2 linked regions of the Oryctolagus cuniculus genome follow. The protein of the gene in region 1 binds, or shares a complex with, the protein of each later gene. Links are inferred from orthologs where the notes say so. Each region holds a gene or a part of one and is shown in the gene's direction. Other genes may lie near its edges.

What was found. Proteins that work in one complex are often made in the same cells at the same time.
Region 2: EXOSC6 (region 1) and EXOSC1 share a complex: the UniProt entries of both Homo sapiens proteins name them as parts of the RNA exosome core complex. The link is inferred for Oryctolagus cuniculus from reciprocal best matches to the Homo sapiens genes EXOSC6 and EXOSC1.

Annotation. Positions count from the first base shown.
Region 1 is NC_091449.1:56,937,020-56,944,388, forward strand, and holds EXOSC6 (exosome complex component MTR3), read left to right. Parts: upstream 1-4,173; 5' UTR 4,174-4,247; coding exon 4,248-5,063; 3' UTR 5,064-5,344; downstream 5,345-7,369. Other genes in the region: AARS1 (alanine--tRNA ligase, cytoplasmic), read left to right, coding at 607-720, 1,196-1,315, 1,442-1,528, 1,869-1,982, 2,386-2,571. UniProt on the Homo sapiens protein: Non-catalytic component of the RNA exosome complex which has 3'->5' exoribonuclease activity and participates in a multitude of cellular RNA processing and degradation events.
Region 2 is NC_091446.1:32,402,412-32,410,017, forward strand, and holds the end of EXOSC1 (exosome complex component CSL4), read left to right. Parts: intron 1-901; coding exon 902-990; intron 991-2,438; coding exon 2,439-2,472; intron 2,473-3,495; coding exon 3,496-3,546; intron 3,547-3,674; coding exon 3,675-3,759; intron 3,760-4,236; coding exon 4,237-4,343; 3' UTR 4,344-4,672; downstream 4,673-7,606. UniProt on the Homo sapiens protein: Non-catalytic component of the RNA exosome complex which has 3'->5' exoribonuclease activity and participates in a multitude of cellular RNA processing and degradation events.

The DNA of each region.
Region 1 (7,369 bases):
GTGCAGGGCCCAAGCACTTGGGCCATTCTCCACTGCCCTCCTGGGTCACAGCAGAGAGCTGGACTGGAAGAAGAGCAACCAGGACTAGAACCAGTGCCCATAAGGAATGCCGGCGCCGCAGGTGGAGGATTAACCTAGTGCGCCATGGCGCGGGCCACACAGCACAGTCTTACACTTAATCGTTTGAAACGTGCGAGAGTTCAGCGCTGACGCATCTGTGTCTAGGAGGGGAGGCCGTGGCCGAGCTGCGGCTTCAGGTGTCTCCTTGCCTATCCCTGTGCCCCTGAGGCTGTGTGCCTAGTCTGAGGTGCGGGCAGATAGAGGGACAGTTGCCCTGGGGTAGAGCTGGAGAGCTGGGATTTCAGGGGGTGCCAGGGGCCCCCGATTCGCCAGTTCTCAGCCACACCCTGAACTTGAGTGTGCACTCTGCTGGCCAGGTGTGTGAGGAGGGTGCCCCTTTGTGGGGTGCGAGGCTGCCTGACCCGAAGAGACCTCTGGTGGTGTCTTGGGGTGTGTTGCTCTGGAACCTGCCATCGACTGTCCACAGTGAGGCTGGATGGAAGCTGCCTGTCCTGGAGGTCCCAACTCTGACTGTCCCCCTCCCAGGCCCTCAGGAAAGCGGAGAGCTTGAAGAAATCACTCTCAGTCATGGAGGCCAAAGTGAAGGCCCAGACTGCGCCCAACAAGGATGTTCAGAAGGAGATCGCCGACCTCGGAGAGGTGAGGGCAGCCCCCTCCCTGCTCAGGGACCTGCCCGGACCACACCTGCCTAAGGAACGAGAGCTCCCTGCATCCAGGCGGGTCCTGGTTCCGTGTGGCATGGGCCTTGGCTGACTCGCCCTGCTGCTCCCGGTGCTGCTGGCATGAGGGGCAGTGGTGAAGGTGCCTGGTGGTCACTGGTACCTGGGGCTTCTGGTGAGCCCACCACAGCCTGCGTTCATGGCTTGGAAAGGACCAGGGCTCACAAGGGAGCCCCGTCTGTGCAGTTTCTCCCTCTCCACTCAGCTTGTTCCAGCTGCTGCGGTCGCTCACCATGTGCCCAAGGCCCCTGCGTACCGTCGTGTTTGTTTTCTCTCCTCCTGGACACTGCTCAGGGAGGACTCGGGTTCCAAGCCAGAGGGTGGGTGCGCGGGCTGGAGCCTCGCGTCAGAGCTCCGTGCAGCCAGATGCAGATGGTCTTCTGTTCTGGGTCTAGGCCCTGGCCGCGGCAGTCATCCCCCAGTGGCAGAAGGACGAACTGCGGGAGACTCTGAAATCCCTGAAGAAGATCATGGATGACCTAGACAGAGCCAGCAAAGCCGACGTGCAGAAGCGAGTGAGTCCTGCGGTGCGGCAGGCTGGACAGGAGCCTGGAGGACCTCCTCGGCGGGCAAGACTGCTGTCAGGGTGTTGGGGTCTGGGCCTTTGGCCGGAGCCTGACTTCCGGACTTACCTCTTGCAGGTGTTGGAGAAGACAAAGCAGCTTATCGACAGCAACCCCAACCAACCCCTCGTCATCCTGGAGATGGAGAGCGGCGCCTCGGCCAAGGCAACCCAGGGGCTGACCCTCACCATCACGTGTTCCCTTCCCTGCGGGTCTCATCAGCCCAGGGGTGGCTGACGGGTGGGCTTAGTGGCTCCGAGCCGAGTGGGCTCCTGAGGGCCCCTGTCCGGGGTTGAGGTTCAGCTGAACCCTGGAGCGAGCGGCCGGCTGGGGGGCTCTGGCTCCTGGCTGGAGGGAGGAGCAGCTCCCTGGAGGCGGGAAACAAATCCCCGAGCCAGAGTGTGGCAGGGCCCCCTCCTGGGAGGGATGGGACACTCCGAGGGCTGCGCTTTGCAGGCTGCTCTGTGGCGAGCAGGGCTGTGGCCTGACCCCGGTCCTCCCACAGGCCCTGAATGAAGCCCTGAAGCTTTTCAAGACGCATTCCCCTCAGACGTCTGCCATGCTCTTCACGGTGGACAACGAGGCTGGCAAGATCACGTGCTTATGTCAGGTCCCCCAGGTGAGAGCCACCGCAGCCAGTGGGAGATGCCGCCTGGGGTTTTCAGAGGGAGCTGGGTTCCTCGGGTTGTTTGCCGATGCCCACGGATGTGGGTGCAGCCCGGTTAGAAGTAGTGGGCCTCCTGCCCACCTGCTGGTCACCTTCACCGGGACCCCACCCTTCCTGTCTCGCTGGTGAATGTGTTTAACTGTAATGGCTGTTGCCCAGCCTTGCCGCTGGCTTGGACTCATGCTAACGGTGGCCACTGACTGCCTCCTGTACCAGCTGTGGCGTTTCTCAGCCTCCAGCATTGTCACCTGGGGCAGGCGTGGGTGTCTGTGGCTCCCATCCTTTTCCTTTCTCTCCATTCATCCTGCGATCCCATCCTCTGTCCTGACTCCCACTTCGCCTTCCTGTGTTCCAGAATGCAGCCAACAGGGGCCTAAAGGCCAGTGAGTGGGTGCAGCAGGTGTCGGGCCTGATGGATGGCAAAGGTGGTGGCAAGGACATGTCTGCCCAGGCCACGGGCAAGAATGTGGGCTGCCTACAGGAGGCACTGCAGCTGGCCACTTCCTTTGCCCAGCTGCGCCTGGGAGATGTGAAGAACTAGAGCAGGGGCAGCTTCCCTGGGAGCCATCTCCCCGTCACCCGTTTGCATCAGTCCAGCCCAGAGATCTCCGTCTGCCACAAAGACTCCTGAATGCTGGGACCTGCAAACAGCCATCCGTCCTCCTAACCCAGCAGTAACTGGACACCCCTGGGAGCTGTCCTGTGCCTCGGTCCCCCTTGATATTTCTGCCCGGAGGCCTGCACGTTGGCACTGCCCGTCTAGAACCACTGGCCCAGGATCGCTGTCTACCTGTGTCAAGTTCACATCCAGAAATGCAGTTCTTTGCTGACCCGAGGCTTCTGGGTCTGCAGGTGGGCACTTGTGCTGCAGAGAATAAAGGACCATGTGCAATACTCATTGATGCCTTCTGGTCATTACCTCCCAGCATGCACCCCTGCTGACAGCTCTTGGCTACCCGAGGGTGTGTAAAACATGCTGACTCCAGCTCAGTCCAGCCCTAAACCCTTGAACTCAGTGTTTGTGGAGACGGGGGTGAGATGGAGAGAGAGGCTCTAATAATTCAGTGGTCCGAGGGGTTACAAAGCAAAGGTGCGCCTGGAGAACCTCCATTGTTTTTTTCTTTTAAAGATTGATTGATTTGAAGGGCAGAGTTACAGAAAAGCAGAGAGAGAGAGGTCTTCCATCCACTGGTTCACTACCCAAAGGGCTGCAGTGGCCGGAGCTGTGCTGATCCGAAGCCAGGAGCTTCCTCCAGGTCTCCCACGCGTGTGCAGGGGCCCAAGCACTTGGGCCATCTTCCACTGCTTTCCCAGGCCATAGCAGAGAGCTGGATTGGAGCAGCTGGTCTCAAACTGGTGCTCACATCGGATGCCAGCCCTGCAGGCGGCGGCTCTGGCTCATGTCCCTCCCCTCCCTCTGAAGCTCTTCATGTGGGGTCAGGGTATGAGGCTGGAGGGCAGTCTCTGGTACAGAAGATGTTTAAGGTGCAGCTATTGCCTCCTACTCTAGTGTCTGCCCATCACTCCCACTTGACCCAAAGACACTGGCCGGTCTCTGAGTCCAGTTTCCCCAAGTCTAAAATGGCAGAGTTTGGAAGGTGAAGGTACTGCTTGCCTGTGCCAGCCCCAACGGATGTCCTGTCCTCTGGATACAGCGGCTGGCCCCAGAGCCCAGGTCACGGTGCTGCTGACAGTGGAGGGAGAAGGAAAAGCAGGTGCATGCTGGGGTGAGGGGCGGTTCTCAGGGTGGGAAGGGGAGGCAGAAAGGGGGTGTTGATGTCCGTGTTAATGATACAAAGAGACTTACATAAAGCCAGTGCTGGAGAGAGATTCCATCCATCATATAGGCCTTCGTGCCAGCCAGGGGCTTGGGAGTGAGCAAGGCCAACTCCCCGGTGGGGACATATAAAATAGTCCCACAGATTAGTGCAAAACTAAGATAACTACAGCCTGCATAAGTGAGAAGACTAAGCGCTCGGGTAGGACCTGGCCTGGGAGACAGTCAACCGGCCCGTCCAGCCCTGGGCAACCTTGCTGCGGCTTCAAAGCCTTGGCGCCGCAGCCGTTCTCCCTCCACGGCGCCAGGGGGCAGTGCAGCCGCGACTGCCTGCGGCTCTCCCGACAGCCCCCGCGCGAGCGCGCGTCTTCAAGCGGGCGGAAGAGCCGGAGCGCGCGGTAGGACGACGGGCGGAAGCGGTGTGCTCGCCAGGTGCCGCCATGCCCGGGGACCACCGCCGCATCCGCGGACCAGACGAGTCGCAGCCGCCGCAGCTGTACGCCGCCGACGAGGAAGAGGAGCCCGCCGCCCGAGACCCGACGCGGCTGCGGCCGGTGTACGCGCGCGCCGGGCTGCTGAGCCAGGCCAAGGGCTCGGCCTACCTGGAGGCGGGAGGCACCAAGGTGCTGTGCGCCGTGTCGGGCCCACGCCAGGTCGAGGGCAGCGAGCGAGGGAGCGGCCCTGCCGGCGCCGGCGGCGAGGCCCCGGCCGCGCTGCGCGGCCGCCTGGTCTGCGATTTCCGCCGTGCGCCTTTCTCGGGCCGCCGGCGCCGGGCGCCTCCGGGCGGCGGCGAGGAGCGCGAGCTGGCCCTGGCGTTGCAGGAGGCGCTGGAGCCGGCCGTGCGCCTGAGCCGCTACCCGCGCGCGCAGCTCGAGGTGTCGGCGCTGCTGCTGGAGGACGGCGGCTCGGCGCTGGCCGCCGCCCTCACGGCCGCCGCCCTCGCCCTGGCCGACGCGGGCGTCGAGATGTACGACCTGGTGGTGGGCTGCGGCCTGAGCCGCGCGCAGGGGCCCACGCCCGCCTGGCTGCTGGACCCGACGCGGCTGGAGGAGGAGCGCGCCGCCGCCGGCCTCACCGTGGCCCTCATGCCGGTGCTCAACCAGGTGGCCGGGCTGCTGGGCAGCGGGGAGGGCGACGCGACCGAGACTTGGGCCGAAGCCGTGCGGCTGGGCCTCGAGGGCTGCCAGCGACTCTACCCGGTGCTGCAGCAGTGCCTGGTGCGGGCCGCCCGCCGCAGGGGCGCCGCCCTGCCCTGAGCCGGCGGGCGAAGTGGAGCCGCGAGCGGACAGAGCGTGCGGAGATGGACAGTTGCGTTGGAACGGCTGTCGACAGACGAACGTTTGACGATCTTTCCAGTCCCCAGCCAGAAGCCAGCGCAGGAAGCCGCGGGCTGCTTGCTTACTCCCGAGCTGGGAAGGACTTGAGCCGGCCTGGTCCGGAGCGCGGGATCTGTGTGACTCCGGAGACGATGGACAGGGCGCTGCGCCTTCTCACAGCGGGACTGAAACAACAAAACCGTTTTTTTTTGTATTCGAAATACGCGTGTCGTGGTTCTTAGTACAGGATTTTCAGAGAGAGCAAGGCTCCCTGGCGGTGAGGCTCAGGACAGCACTGCCCCGCCTGTGTCGTGTCCCTTGGACCGGTGAGCCGACCAGACGGGCCAGAATCCTGAAGCAGCTGCGGGTTTAGAAGTGGGCCGTGTGCTTGGCAGGAAGACACGCCGCCGCCTCCGGTGCCCGTGAGGGCGGCTGCTGCGCCGGGAGGAGAGTTGGACGGCCCGGGAGCACTCGGGGGTCCCGGAGCTCATGGCTGTGCCGCGAGAGGCCCCAGCGCAGGGTTCCCGAGAGCTGGAAAGGGTTTTGCTGGGGGTGGAAGCCGGATCCCAGCCTTCCGTGGCCAGGGCCACAGCAGTCCAGTCAAAGGCCTGCACTGCCGCTGAGTGGGCCCCTGGGCTGCCTTCATCTGCCCGTTGTCCAGCCTGAGCCCCTGGGGAGAGGGCGGGTGAACTGGCTTCTGGGAAAGCAGAGGAGCATGGCTACGCTGTATGGCAGGAGGGGAGTCTTCCTTGAACCCTGCTGGCTTGGGCTTAACAGAATCGAGGGAGCCAGCGGAGACCACAGTGGGGAGGGCCGGGCACCCAGCTCTGGATGACCTGCTAAACTTGTCTTGAAGGGCTGGCCTGGGGGAAGCCCAAAGACCAGGGTGAAGTTCTGGGGCCACACCACAGTCCTTTGGCAGAAGAAATGCAATTTTTATTTTTTTCTGTTCTGACAGCAGATCTGCAAACACACAGTGTCACACCAGTGAAAGACAAGATAGGAATGGACAGGACAGAGAAAGGATGTCCCTGTTGGAAAGGACAGTCGGAAGCAAAAGGGGCCCATGTAGGGCAGAGACCCAGGACTTTACAACTGGGCGGGGAGGGGAGACTGTGGGAACACAGGTGTGTTTCCTGTGCACCACTGTGCCTGGAGCAGCTGTTGGGGGACGACTGCAGCCTGATGCTGCACACCCGGCAGCCCTGGTGGTGTGTGGGGAGGGGGTGCTTCAGGTGCCCCTGCAAACCAGGATGGTCTCAGGCAGCCTGTCTCCCAGCCCCGCCAGCCCTAGGACCACCATCTGGAAACCCCCTCCCCCCAGGGAGGGGCTCTCCCGCTGGTCTGGCCGAGCCCTGTGCCTCCGTTTGCACTGCCCCAGCTCCAAAATGGGTGCCACTAGGAGGCCTTCAAAACAATACAAGAAGGTGCCTGGCGCTGGCAGGCCAGGGAGGATTCCCACCTACTCACTGCCCTCCTGGTCTGATGTGTGATTCTTCACCTGTGGGAAAAAACAAGCAGGACTGGCTGCCAACACAGTACCCAGCCCATCGTGTCAGGAGCTAGACTCCCTGAGTCTCTGGGCATCCAGACCAACCAGGAAAAAGAGCATTCTCCATGTGGCCTGCTCTCTCAGCAGACCCAAGGGCAGAGCTGGGATAAACAGCAGGGTGTTGCCTCTGAGGTCACAGTCCTAATCCCCACCCCCACCCCACGCTCCTGTACAGGCCTCAGTCTGATCGTGCACACAGGGAGACACGGGGACCCCAGCAAGTGGAGATGGGGAGGAGGAGCCAGGCCACTTACTGCCTGCTCTGTGCTGGTGCCTGCCTTGGCACTGTCCCTCTGCGCACCGGGCCTCGCCCCTGGGCTCCCACTGGTTTTCAGTGCCTCGGCACCAGGCGCTCTCACTGCCTGGACCCCTGGTCTCTTCACTGTCCGTCGTCCCTGTGCAAAGGGAGGCACCCGTCAGTAGAGGTCCCAGCTGGTCCAGGGAGCCACCTGATGCCCAGCTCTGATTAGGTCCTGAGGCGCATGGCCTGGGCAGTGTTCTGCCTCCAGAAAGTTGCTGAGAGGGTGGGGGTGATGGGACAGCCCTGGAGCCACAGGAAGAGCCAGAGCGAATGGGGAGAGGACCACCCAAGGAGAGCCTGGAAAACCGGAGGCAGGGCTCCAGGCACCCCCCACCCCCACCCCCTATCTTCAGGAACTGGGCGTGGGCTGGGCTTACAGCGGGGTCTGACCTG
Region 2 (7,606 bases), on another chromosome or scaffold:
TGGGAGACCAGGAGAAGTACCTGGCTCCTGCCTTCGGATCAGCAAGGTGTGCCAGCCGCAGCACACCGCCCGTGGAGGCCATTGGAGGATGAACCAACGGCAAAAAGGAAGACCTTTCTCTCTCTCTCACTCACTGTCCACTCTGCCTGTAAAAAAAAAAAAGAAGAAGAAGAAGAAGATGGCCCAAGTTTTTGGGCCCCTGCACCCGCAAGGGAGACCCGGAAGAAGTTCCTGGCTTCGGATTGGCTCAACTCCGGCTGTTACAGCCATCTGGGGAGTGAAACAGCAGATGGAAGATCTCTCCCTCTCCCTCCCTCCCCCTCCCTCCCCCTCCCTCTCCCTCCCTCCCCCTCCCTCCCCCTCCCTCTCCCTCCCTCTCTCCCTCTCTCTCGCCCTCTCTGTAAGGTGCTAGTTTTCATATGCCAGCTGCTCCACTTCTGATCCAGTTCCCTACTGTGGCCTGGGAAAGCAGTGGAAGATGGCCAGTGGAAGATGGCCCAAGTGCTTGGGCCTCAGCACCTGTGTAGGAGACACGGAAGAAGCTCCTTGCTCCTAACTTCAGATTGGCACAGCTCCGGCCATTGTGGCCAGTTGGGGAGTGAACCAACAGATGGCGACCTTTCTGTCTGTGTCTTCCTCTAACTCTCTCTCTCAAATAAATATATAAGAAAATATATCTGTATAACATGTCATTTGGTTCCCATAGTCACCCTGTCAGGTGGCCAGAGTTGTTCTTAATCCACAAATCTCACTTAGGCAGAGATAAGTAGAAGCTAGCTTGTCTTCAATTGTATGTTTACTAGAATCTTGGGCTGAAGTCCTAGTAAAGCCTTGTTCATTGCTGCCTCCTTGAGCTGACAATTGTGAATACTCCGGTGCTGATCCTCTCTGAATTCCACAGGTCTCCAGCATCAATTCACGTTTTGCCAAAGTACACATCCTCTACGTGGGATCCACACCTCTTAAGAACTCTTTTCGAGGAACTATCCGGTAAGAAGTATCCTTGTCCTCCCCCACACACGCTGCCTTTCAAGTACATAAATAAATCTGTAAGAAGAAGTATCCTTGTTGTGATACTTGCCTCAACACCTGGAATGAGATTAGGATAGACAGGACAACTGGAATTTTTAGGAACACTTACAATACCTGCTCATGCCATCTTTCTATCTTCTTTGTACTTTGATTCTCCCCATTAATATCCAAAGAACATGTTATATGAGCTAGGATGAAAGGAAGATACTAAAAAGGATTTTAAAAAGATTAAGCAGAGCTGAAGATTGACAACGTTAGGCTGATTTGAACCAAATAAAGTACAAAGCATTTAAAGAAGTATTTTTCTTTATTTTTTTTTTTTTTTAAGATTTATTTATTCATTTTCAAGTCAGAGTTACACAGAGAGGAGAGACAGAGAGAGAGACAGAGAGGTCCTCCATCCGATGGTTCACTCCACAGTTGGCCGCAACGGCCGGAGCTGTGCCGATCCAAAGCCAGGAGCCAGGATCCTCCTCCCGGTCTCCTACGTGGGTACAGGGGCCCAAAGACCTGGGCCATCTTCTGCTGCTTTCCCAGGCCCTAATAGAGAGCTGGATCGAAAGTGGAGCTGTTGGGTCTTGAACTGGTGCCCATTTGGGACAGCGGTGCTTCAGGCCAGGGTGTTAACCCATGGCACCACAGCGCCGGCCCCAGTACTTTTTTTCTTGAACTTAGTATTGAGTAATCCCAAAGGTTATAAGATAATGAAAGGATTTGTTTGTGAGGTGGTATATTTTTTCCAATGGATTCCTTATAGAAAAGACAAACAATTATTACAGGCCAGATAACAGGGTTTTTTAAATTTATTCGCTTCATCTATTTGAAACACAGGGACAGAGCGATCTCCCATCCTCTGTTTCACTCCCCCAGTGCCTGCAGCAGCCGAGAGTCAGGAGTTCAATCCATTGTCCCACATAGGAAGCAAGGACCCAACTACTTGAGCCATCACCTGCGCCTCCCAGGGTGCACATTAGCAGGAAGCTGGAATGGAGAGCGGAGTGGGGACTCTTAACCCGGGCAGTGCAGGATAGGACATGGACAATCCCAAGTGGCGGCTTTACCACTGCACCAAACACCCACCTCAGATAATTCGATTTTGCAGGGTCTGGTGTGGTTCTGTGGCATTTCATTCCAGTTCTCTTGAAGCAGCAAAGTTCCTTATCTTTTCCTGCCGCCTCTGATCTCTTTCTGTACTCAGAGGTGTTGCTCCTGCTGCTCTGCATGGCCTGACAATGGGCAAGTGCTTTCTCCCGTGGGCGAAGATGCCTCCCCCCCTCGTTCTGGGTGGCAGCTGGCTCCCGTCAAGACTTGTTCCGTCTGCTCTGAGAGTCCTTCACCTGCTAGGAACCTTCAGGACAGTTTTTCTCGAAGATAATTAACCTTTGGTGAACTTTTTTTTTTTGTAGGAAGGAAGATGTTCGAGCCACTGAAAAAGACAAGGTTGTTGGTTGGTTCGTTTTTCTCTTCCATGAATGAAGCAATTGAAATCCTTTACAATTACTCACATTTATGTTAATTCATCTGACCTGAGTGGGGCTAGGTTTGCCCTTAAAGCCAAGTATTTATTCATTGCTGTCCCCTCAGATGTAGTCCTGGATCTTTCAGAACCAACTGCAGTACCTCTTATATCTTTTCTTTTTCTAAAGATTTATTTTATTTATTTGAAAGAGTTACAGAGAGAGTTAGAGACAGAGAAAGATCTTCCATCCACTGGTTCACTCCTGAGATGGCTGCAGTGGCTGGAGCTGCGCTGATCCAGAGCCAGGAGCCTCTTCCAGGTCTCCCACGCGGGTACAGGGGCCCAAGTAGTTGGGCCATCCTCTACTGCTTTCCCAGCCCACAGCAGAGAGCTGGATCGGAAATGGAGCAGCTGGGTCTTGAACCAGCGCCCACATGGGATGCCAGCGCTTCAGGCCAGGGCGTTAACGTGCTGCGCCACAGTGCTTGCCCCGCCCTTTTTTTTTTTTTTTTTTTTTTTTTTTGTAAGATAAATATTTACTTGAAAGACAGCTACATAGAGAGCTGTCTTCCATCCCTGGTTCACTCCCCAAGCTGAAGCCAGAAGCCAGAAACTCCAGGTCTCCCATGTGGGTGGCAGGGGCCCACATACTTGAGCCATCCTCTGCTGTTCTCCCAGGCACATTAGCGGGACCTGAACTAGAAGTGGAGCAGCAGGGACTCTAATTGGCGCTCAAATGGGATACAGATATGTGTTGCAGGTGGTGGCTTAACTCACTGCACCTCAAAGCCAGCCCCTATAGTACCTTTTTATAGTAAATTCAGTAGTCTGATTCCTGATTGGATTACTGAATTCAAAATCTGATTTGTATGATGTTGACTGACAGGCTATGATGCCTTCTCCCCGCTGGGGTTAGATAGGCGACAAGCTCTCCCAGAGGGGCTAAGGATTCTGTGTGGCTCTGATCCAGAGCTTCACTTAACACCACTATGCTTTCTTCACAGGTTGAAATATACAAGAGTTTCCGTCCAGGGGACATTGTCTTGGCCAAAGTGGTATCCTTTATTCCCAGCAGACTTCTGGTTCTTCGTGAAGAAGACATGGAACTAGAGAAACAACCCAAGTGGCTAAGGGGGGAAGACTTGTAACCTCTCATTTTCCTTCACCGCTGTTGTGTGACTAGATCTCTCTAGGTGACGCCCAGTCCAACTACCTGCTGACCACAGCTGAAAATGAGCTGGGAGTGGTGGTGGCCCATAGTGAGTCAGGTGAGTTGGTCTACACTTCTACATTCTGATTCTTCCTTGGCTGGTATGGTTTGGGATCAATGCATTAATTTTCTGACTTTCCCTAGTTTGTCATTGTTTGGGAAGCAATATAAGTGTAGGTACCATGATGCACTGCATAACAGCATTTTGGTCAGTGACAGACTGCATCTGGGCTGGTGGTCGCATGAGATTATCACCTAGTGATGTTGCAGCCGTACATCCTGTGATGTTCACACAACTATGAAATCGCATGCCCCCATCAGGTGATGCGTGGCTGTGCTTACTGCAGAGATGAGATTCTGCTAGCCCTAAGGAGGTGGGACTCACTTCATAAATCATGAGATAAACACGGTTTTCCCGTATGAGGGGAGGTTTGCTGGTAGCCTGGTAATACTTCAGCTTCGTACCCATCTGAAAGAAAAGGGCTTCAAGCAAACATCTGAGGTCCCAGCTGCAAACCCAGCTTTTCCCTTCCAGGTGTCCAGATGGTTCCCATCAGCTGGTGTGAGATGCAGTGCCCTAAGACCCACACTAAGGAGTTCCGGAAAGTGGCCCGCGTGCAGCCTGAATTCTTGCAGACCTAGGAGGCCATGGTGACCCCCCGGAGGGCTCAGCTGTTTCTGAGAGCATAGGTATGAAAACAGCACCCGGATGCATTGTCTGTCGTCAAAGGCCAGGGTCAGCCAGCACTGCCCGAGAAGACTCGACCAGGAAACTCATTGTGCAGATGAAGCCTTCCTGTGAGTGGATTTCCCTCCCTCGAGTGATGACATTCCTCCTCCGGGGGCTCAGTAAACTGCGAGCTGTGGCCTGTGGGAAATAGCCTGTTCCTCCCGACAGTGTATCTTTATAAATGTGTATATTTTGCTGTGATCAAGAAAACATTTTTTACTAAAAGGATTTTATTACAGGCTGCTGTTGTCTTGAGCTGGGAAAAACCCCTGAATGTGTCATAACGTTTAGAGCAAGGCTTTGCCGATGGCGCCCACTGATCGACGGGTGTCATTTGCTTAGACGAAGCCTGAGCACCAGCCTCTTTTGCATTGTTTTGAGTTCTGTTTTAAATGCTTCTGCTAACTGCTCCAGGCTCTAGGTACACCCCTCACTTCAGTACATTACGGCACAGTGAAAACTGTAGCACGGATGGGCTCATCCAGGTAGCACGTGAATAGGTCTGCAGAGTATTTGGTGAAAATAGGGTTTCTGATGTACTGGGTACTCCAGGACTGGGTGACCCATCGGAATTGAAAAGACGGACAGAGCTTTCACGTGAGGTGGCCGGGAAAGGAATGACAGAATTTGGAGTAAAGTGAAGATATTCGAGGCAGACAGCAGCCCTAGCAAAATGCAGAAGCCGAAATGCAGGGCCCAGCTCGAGTGAGGAAGGGATGGAGTCAAGGATGGAGGGGTTGCAGCGCGGAGGGGAAGGGCGGGCCTCAAGTGGCGCTGCTGGGGACATCCCTCGGGCCGCGTTTTCAGTGTTCACCCCCCAAAGGCTGAGGGCAAGCTTTGGAGTCAGCCTGCTGGGTGTGTCCTCACATCCCCTAGTTGCTAGCCACAGGCAGCTGAGGCTGGGTCATTTGTTTAATTGAAAATTTGATTGTGATAATGATAGATCCACGTGCAATTTTAAATACAGCAGGACCGGTGTCATGGTGCAGTGGGTTAAGCCGCCGCCTGTGATGGAATTTGTTTATCCTATCATTAGGGAACTGATGAAACAGCTACATCAAAGCGGCACAAAGCCTGGCATTTAGTAGACACCTGAAAAAAGGCAATCAGACAATAAATATAACAAAAACAGTAACATGTCCTGGGTACTTTTATGCATTTCTTCCTCATGATCATACCATTCAGATGAAGGAAAAGTCTTAAAGAGATATAAACAATTTGCTCATAGTTGTGTGAACATCACAGGATGTACGGCTGCAACATCCCCATATCCCTATATGAGCACCAGCGAGTCGCAATTGCTCCGCTTCAATCCAGCTCCTTGCTAATGCACCTGGGAAGGCAGCAGAGCTGGCCCAAGTACTTGGACCCCTGCCACCCACAAGGGAGACCAGGATGGAGTCTTGGGCTCCTGGCTTCAGCACGGTCCAGCCTCAGCTATTAAGGCCATTTTGGTGGTGAACCAGCAGGTGGAAGATACCTCTGCCTTTCAAATAAATAAATCTATAATAATAATACTGGCTGGCGCCGCAGCTCACTAGGCTAATCCTCTGCCTGCGGCGCCGGCACACCAGTTTCTAGTCGTGGTCGGGGCGCCAGATTCTGTCCCGGTTGCCCCTTTTCCAGGCCAGCTCTCTGCTGTGGCCCAGGAGTGCAGTGGAGGATGGCCCAAGTGCTTGGGCCCTGCACCCCATGGGAGACCAGGAGAAGCACCTGGCTCCTGCCTTCGGAACAGCACGCTGCGCTGGCCTCAGCACGCCGGCTACTGCGGCCATTGGAGGGTGAACCAACGGCAAAAGGAAGACCTTTCTCTCTGTCTCTCTCACTGTCCACTCTGCCTGTCAAAAATAATAATAATAGGCCGGCGCCGTGGCTCAATAGGCTAATCCTCCACCTTGCAGCGCCGGCACACCGGGTTCTGGTCCCGGTCGGGGCGCCGGATTCTGTCCCGGTTGCCCCTCTTCCAGGCCAGCTCTCTGCTATGGCCAGGGAGTGCAGTGGAGGATGGCCCAAGTGCTTGGGCCCTGCACCCCATGGGAGACCAGGAAAAGCACCTGGATCCTGGCTCCTGCCATCGGATCAGCGCTGTGCGCCGGCTGCAGCGGCGGCCATTGGAGGGTGAACCAACGGCAAAGGAAGACCTTTCTCTCTCTGTCTCTCTCTCTCACTGTCCACTCTGCCTGTAAAAAATTAAAAAAAAAAAAAAAAATAATAATAATAATAATACTGAGTGATCCCTCTTACACTTTGCCCAGTTTTCCATAACAACCAGAATGTTGGCGCTGACACTTGAGCAAATTGTTTATATCTCTTTAAGACTTTTCCTTCATCTGAATGGTATGATCATGAGGAAGAAATGCATAAAAGTACCCAGGACATGTTACTGTTTTTGTTATATTTATTGTCTGATTGCCTTTTTTCAGGTGTCTACTAAATGCCAGGCTTTGTGCCGCTTTGATGTAGCTGTTTCATCAGTTCCCTAATGATAGGTATTTTGAGACTTTACAGATTTTGTTAGATGGCACTAGGGAGGAAACCCTTAGCCATTTTTATTTGTGTGGGCCTGTGATTCTTCCACAAGACAATTTCTAGAAGCAAAATGCTGATTAAAGACTGTGTAGACACTTAAAATTTCAGTTTAGGCCGGTGCCGCGGCTCAATAGGCTAATCCTCCGCCTAGCAGCACCAGCACACCGGGTTCTAGTCCCGGTCGGGGCACCAGATTCTGTCCCGGTTGCCCCTCTTCCAGGCCAGCTCTCTGCTATGGCCCGGGAGTGCAGTGGAGGATGGCCCAAGTGCTTGGGCCCTGCACCCGCATGGGAGACCAGGAGAAGCACCTGGCTCCTGCCTTCGGATCAGTGTGGTGCGCCGGCCGCGGTGGCCATTGGAGGGTGAACCAACGGCAAAAGGAAGACCTTTCTCTCTCTCTCTCTCTCTCTCTCTCTCTCTCACTGTCCACTCTGCCTGTAAAAATAAATAAATAAAATAAAATAAAATAAAATAAAATAAAATTTCAGTTCAGTTCTTTCCAGTACTTTCCTGGTGTTAGCAACTGAACATCAGGGTAACCATTGTATTTATGCTCCTCTGCACCTCACAGTGACCCTGGAAAGACCATTTCACAAATGAATCTACTCCCGAGTCACTTAGCCATCAAGTAGCAGAGCCGTATTCA